Linked DNA regions of Daphnia pulex. The protein of the gene in region 1 purifies or fractionates together with the protein of each later gene. This does not show direct contact. Links are inferred from orthologs where the notes say so. Each region holds a gene or a part of one and is shown in the gene's direction. Other genes may lie near its edges.

Region 1 (2,804 bases):
TGGCTCTGACAAGAGTGGCGTTAAACCCATTGAGAAACGTGAAGGTAGTGGTCCGCACAATTGGGGAAGCGTCCAAGACGAAATTGAGGGCCAGCTGGAGCCTGCTGTCGCTGAAGAGGTTGTCGAGGGAGAGGCTGAAGTCGTCGCTCCTGCTGAAACAGCTGAAGTCAAGTAAATAAGGCTTTATTTTTAAACTAATTGTTTTCCTAGCTTGAACCACTATCTACTGTGCATGGGTTCTATTTTGTTATTTTATTTCAAACTGATGAGACTTTGACGCCGAGAAAGATTTCAGAGAAACTTTCGTTGAATAAGGCAAGCCAAAAGGATGCTGACAACTTTTAAAGACTTACATTTACCATTGAAATTGTTATTAGATGTAAAATAATAATTTGAATCTTTTCCAAATTATAGGGAGGGAGAAGAGACTGCTCCAGTGGCTCCTGAAGATGAAGAGCCCAAGGAGTTGACGCTAGATGAGTGGAGAGCTCTGAGGGGTGAACGCAAGAAGCCCGAGTTCAATATTCGCAAGCCAGGAGAAGGTGAAGACAACTCTCAATGGAAAAAGACCTTTGTTCTTGACAAGAAGAAGGATGACGATGAAAGCGAAGAGGAAATTATCGATCTGACGGCCGAGTATCCTCAACGAGCTGGACGCCAAAAGCGTTTGGACATCGAGATCCGCTTCTCTGACTCGCGTCGTGGAAGCGATCGCGGTGGTCGTGGTCGCGGAAGGGGTCGCGGCGAGGGAGGATTCCGTGGTGATCGCGAAGGCGGTTACCGTGGAGGCTTCCGCGAAGGTGGAGAGCAACGTGAAGGTGGTGGATATCGCGAGGGAGGCTACCGTGGTGGATACCGCGGCGGCGATCGCGAAGGTGGAGAACAACGTGAAGGCGGCGGATACCGTGGAGGCTTCCGCGGAGATCGCGAGGGAGGCGAGCAACGCGAAGGAGGTTACCGTGGTGGATACCGCGGTGGCGATCGCGAGGGAGGCGAGACCCGTGAGGGTGGCGGATACCGTGGAGGTTTCCGCGGAGATCGCGAGGGAGGCGAGCAACGTGAAGGCGGCTACCGTGGAGGTTACCGCGGTGGATACCGTGGCGATCGCGAAGGAGGCGAACAACGTGAAGGTGGTGGCGGATATCGTGGTGGATACCGCGGCGATCGCGAAGGAGGCGAACGTGGTACTTACCGTGGCGGAAGAGGATCCCGTGGTGGTAATCGCGGTCCGTCCATGCCAGCCGCTCCTAAAGTGGACGATGAGAAGGATTTCCCGGCCCTCGGCTAAATCCTCATAGGTAACCAAAAAAATAAAACGCCTTTCTTAAACCAGCTTGAACTAATTGAATTATTATTTGTTTTAGCAGGGTTGACAGGTGTGCCCTAAAAACCACCTCTTCGTGAACACATACGAGTAGCCTCCTCCGCCAGCTCGACCAGGCTCCCCCACCACTACTCACCAATTTTTTTTCTCCTTAAAAAAAAAGAAGCCAATAACCACCACCACATCCTCGTTTATCTTAAGGATGGATAGTTAAATCAAATGACGTAGCTCCATTTCTTTTCTTTCTTTTTTTTTTGTCTTTCTCTATGCGTGTGCGTGTTCGTCGTGTATTACATTTACATCCTCGCATTCGATCCCTTCTCCCCCTCCCTGCCCCACCTCATTTCCCTCCAAGCGTCAACACCATGCCAGGTGTTAAGCAATCAAAGTTGAAGTAGTTTATTTCTTGAGAAACCCGTCCCACCTGCGTAACAAGAAAAAAAATCTAGCTCAATGAAAGCTCGAAGTACATTAATTCCTAATTGATTCTCCATATAGGAAGATTAAGTAAACAAAAAAAATTAGTATCCCTTAATGATGAAACTACTACGGGTTTTTCTCTCGACTTTGTTGGAAATATTTTTTTGTCAATTTCTCTCGCCAAACATCTCCCCGCCCCCTCCCTCCCATCCAATCAAGCCCAGTCTGGACTGTTCAAAGTATTTTGAGGACGTGAAAAAAAAATTAAGGTGTGATGTATTCTTTATCCATTTTTTTCTTCTTTTTCTCCCCCCTACAGTTATGAGTTGGAATTCTCTTGGAGCCTCCGTTCATTGAAGTATTCAAAACAAACAAAAAAAAAACGAAGTTGTGTTAATTGGTGGGGTGGTTGTGGTTATGACTTGGTTTCTTTTTTTTTTCTTTAGGAGGAGGCCTGCCCTCTTTTGTGTAGACATGTGACAGATGACGATCCGTTTCAGAAAAAATAAAAAAAAAACGCCATTTTGCGCTGAATGGAAAAGAAGTTGTCTTTGTTAACTTTCGCTTTTATTTCGTAGTAGTTTGTAGTAGAAATCAAGGTTTTGTTTTACATCTTGGCGAATGTCGGTGAGTCTTTCGACCTTGATGCGATGGATGGTATGTCGATTTACCGTCCTTCATCGTTTCAGATGAAAAGCAGACACGGGGCATCTTTATAAGAAGAACGTTGAGCGTGTTGACGTCATGGGAAATATTCTTGTCAAGTGGCGGCGGCGCTGTTTGAATCAATTTGTCTACGTCGTCGATCTAAATATGAATGACTAACGGTAACTATCGTCCATCCGGGGTTGGGCCACTATGTTAGTATGTTTGACCTTTTTCAATGATGATGGCCTTGTTAACAAACAAACTCATTTTGTAGAACTAACAATTCGGACGTGAGTTATTGGATGGCGGGAGCAAACAAGAATGTATTGCGCAGAGCTTTCACCAAGTAAGTAACGGATACAAACATTCTCTCGTGCTGAATCGGAATTATGTTGATGAAATTCATCCTCTT
Region 2 (3,754 bases), on another chromosome or scaffold:
GCGTTCCTTCGTGTGATTTAAAAAAAAAAATTTAAGTAAAATTTGGTAATCAGATAATTATTTTTTTGTGAATTTGTAACATTAATTAGTTTAACCTAATCATGTATTAAATTGATTTATCGTTTAAACTGATGCAGTAGGGCAGACAAAGTGCTGTTAAAATTTGGCATCGGGTTCGGGTTACGGATGCTACTTTTGTTGGTACCGTGGATTAAGTAACAATAAAAAGGTCTAGAGGTGCATATTCTCATATGCATCGGAGAATTGTTCCGAAGCTTCCAAAAACTGCGGTAATTTTCCTGAGTTGGATAGTTCTTTTTTTTCCAATGGTCTCGACTCGAATTGGCCAAATCACGATTCAGTTTAACTCAATTTGAATCTTTTATGAATATTCGGTTTTGGGTATCCATTTCGATTCACGCTGAATTTTTACATCAAAAGATTACAGCAAATAAATCTACTTTTTGTTTTTGTTAAGTATAATCGAAATTGGCGTGATAAAATACTTTTGGAAAGAAGCAAACTATCAGCTTCAGCTGTCGTGACCGTTAGTTGTGTGCCTATATCATTCAAGTATAGCGGTAACACTTTCTTTTTCTGCTATTTAACTTCTTTTTTTTTTAATTGAGACGAATTGTTTTTAATTGAGACGAATTGAGGTTGGGATTTTTATTCTAATAAATTGTTTTCCATTAGAATGTTTTCTTTTTTTCCATTAGAATCAGCTCGAATGCGATTATTCACATATTTTTACATCCATTATGGTTTTGACTTGAAATAATAAATTCCGAGTCCTCGGGATAGCATAAGATTTCTTAAAATTTACACAGAAACTTAAGGAATTTTCTTAAGAAATGCAAACCACCGGTAATTTTTGAAACATTATTCTAGGCTCAATAGAGAGCAAGAAGTTGATAGACGATCTTTCGTAAAAGTTGATAGGTAACCATCAACATCTTATTAATCCCAATTCCCAACTGTGAAGTGTTAACCTGATTTTATGTCAAAACAAATAGGGATCGCTTTCGTTTTAGCAACATTCCATAAAATTGGAATTGTATTTTACATTATCTAATGAAATATAGTTTTAGTCTGTATTCTAATTTTTTTTAAGATGCAGTAGTTTAACGAAAGCGACACGTGACGAAAACTGACGATTGGCAATAGAAAACCAACTCTGAGAAAACGTTGATCATTAGAATAAATCTGGCAAGGGGAAACGAGTCATAGGCATTGCAATTTGGAATTGAGCAATTTGGCAACGGTGTTCGAGCTCCCCGAGGAAAATGGAGGATCTTGCCGTTGAAGTCCGGGGTGAAAATGGGGCTTGGTATAAGGTGAATAATAAAATACATATTTATTAATTTCTGTAGCAATGTCAATTCTGTATAAATTTGAATTATTTCTTCTGGATTCATCATGTATAACGATAATATTGTTTATAGTCTTTTAAGTCCGAAAATGTTAGGCTGGAATCGGTAGTGAATGAACCGGCCCTGCCCTTTTTGATAATATGGCTTGGCTTGTAGAATTTGTTAGTATTAAGGATTTACCGACTGTTTTGATGCAAATTTCTACGTCCTTTTTTATAAATTTTCATAGCTGTGTTTAGTTTGTCTTATTTTGTGTTATAACTATTTGAATTTTATGCCATCTTCTACAGGCATTTGTCACTGATGTTCATGAAGATGAGATTTCTGTTGCATTTGAGAATGAGTATGTATATTAAATAAGTTAGAATTTACCAAACCAATAATTACCCTTTTTTATTAGTTGGCAGCCAGAAACAAAGTTTCTATTTTCAAGGTCCCGCTTACCTCTCAAGGACAGCAAAGGTCCATTTACATTTGTAGAAAACCAAGAAATTGAAGTTTACTCAAAAGCAAATGAACAGGAAGCATTTGGTTGGTGGAAAGCTGTTATTAAGGTAATTTTCTTGATTAATTCATTTTTAAAGGAAACAAGAAAATATTTCTGAAAGATGATCTAGAATTAATACATTGAAATTCATTGGTATTTATTTTATTCTTAGATGATCAGAGGAGAGTTTTATGTCGTGGAATATGTTGGCTGGGAGATGTCATATTCGGAAATAGTACCTGGTGAGAGAATTCGTCCATCAAACACCAATTCACCTTTAACAAAAGCCAACTTTTTCAAATTTGAAATTGAGGTGCCTGAAGAACTACGGGAATAGTGAGTTTTACTTACACTTGTTAACTTAACAAAACCCAAAACAGTATTAATTATTCAAATGAAATGAGAAAAACAATATTTATTTGGTGTATACCAAAAACACCTAAACCAAATTGTAATTGCACCACTATCTGTTTCAGTGCTAAGAGGGATGGAGTACACAAGGAATTTCAAAAAGCGATTGAAGCAGCCGTCTGTCGATATGTACCCGATAAAGGAATGCTTAGTGTTATGGTAAGTTTTGTTTTTCTTTATTTATTGATCTGGTATTAATGTATTAATGTTTTTGATTGTTCAGTCACGGCACGAATCCAGTCGAAAGCGAGCTGGTCTGTTGCAGGATATGCATTTTCGTAACCTGACGCAAAAAGTGGTGCTGCTCAAAAGAACTGAAGAAGCTGCTAAACAGCTCGAATGTACAAGAACACATTCTAGCGGAGGGTGAGTGAATAGCGTCAACAGTTTTTTGCATTTCTTACTTAAGTTATCTTATTTCTGAAGCTTTACGGAGGAGTTCACGGTGAGGGAGGATTTGATGGGATTGGCTATTGGAGCGCATGGAGCCAACATTCAACAAGCTCGAAAGATTGATGGGATAACCAACATTGAGCTATTGGAGAATTCCTGTACCTTTCGTATACACGGAGAAGTATTTCATTTACCGCCTTATTTTATTTCATGTGGTTTTGTTGTAATTGGTGGTTTCGAATTTCAGATTGAAGATTCAGTAAGAAAAGCTCGTGGAATGCTGGAATATGGCGAAGAATCCATTCAGGTGCCTCGGTTTTTGGTCGGAAAAGTCATAGGAAAGAACGGGCGTGTCATTCAAGAGATTGTCGACAAGAGTAATGTTGTCCGGGTTAAAATTGAAGGAGACAACGAACCTAATCCGACTCATCCTCGCGAAGATGGATTGGTTCCATTTGTGTTCGTGGGCACAGTGGACTCCATAGCCAATGCCAAAGTCCTTCTCGAGTATCATCTAGCACATTTGAAAGTACGAAATTTTAGTCTAGTTCCTCCTAGTATCACCATTTGTAGCCTCTCTTTGCAACGTTTTTGTTTCTATTCATTCAGCATGGTTGATTCCAAATCAGTATTAATTATACTTGACATGGTTACTTTCTGTAGCAGTAGACAATCATACATTGAGTTGTCATCCCCCTAAAGATTTTTAAGCTGCTGTATTAATTACTCTTTTTTGACTGTTTCCAGGAAGTGGAACAATTACGCATGGAGAAATTGGAGATCGATCAGCAACTTCGCTCTATTCACAATAGCAACCTAACATCTGCCCCTACCTTCCCACCTCCACGACGCATTGATAGGTATTTTGGCTGTTTGTTTGTTTGTTTTATTTTAAATTTCTTGGCATTCCTCCAATTAAATTTATTTTTAGGGGGTATAGTGCTGAACCAGATAATGGAGGAAATCGTGACCGAGGAAACATGACACGTGGTCGGGGTCGAGGTGGAGGGAGAGGAGCACCTGTCAGCAGTGGTCGTTTTGTGGAAAGATTTAATGTGGAAAGAAGTGGGATTGCATCATCGGTGAGGGG

The links. The genes of interacting proteins can lie anywhere in the genome.
Region 2: the proteins of TATA-binding protein-associated factor 2N-like (region 1) and fragile X mental retardation syndrome-related protein 1-like purify together in Drosophila melanogaster (affinity purification with western blotting; 4 studies listed by BioGRID, with this or other methods). This does not show direct contact. The link is inferred for Daphnia pulex from reciprocal best matches to the Drosophila melanogaster genes vig and Fmr1.

Annotation. Positions count from the first base shown.
Region 1 is NC_060019.1:5,854,530-5,857,333, reverse strand, and holds the end of TATA-binding protein-associated factor 2N-like, read left to right. Parts: coding exon 1-171; intron 172-414; coding exon 415-1,288; 3' UTR 1,289-1,298; intron 1,299-1,364; exon of another isoform or gene 1,365-1,367; 3' UTR 1,368-2,288; downstream 2,289-2,804. Other genes in the region: uncharacterized protein LOC124191497, read left to right, coding at 2,695-2,738.
Region 2 is NC_060025.1:5,457,506-5,461,259, reverse strand, and holds the start of fragile X mental retardation syndrome-related protein 1-like, read left to right. Parts: upstream 1-1,176; 5' UTR 1,177-1,286; coding exon 1,287-1,337; intron 1,338-1,663; coding exon 1,664-1,716; intron 1,717-1,773; coding exon 1,774-1,927; intron 1,928-2,032; coding exon 2,033-2,196; intron 2,197-2,336; coding exon 2,337-2,430; intron 2,431-2,494; coding exon 2,495-2,637; intron 2,638-2,697; coding exon 2,698-2,845; intron 2,846-2,911; coding exon 2,912-3,193; intron 3,194-3,411; coding exon 3,412-3,524; intron 3,525-3,595; coding exon 3,596-3,754. UniProt on the Drosophila melanogaster protein: Polyribosome-associated RNA-binding protein that plays a role in neuronal development and synaptic plasticity through the regulation of protein synthesis of mRNAs.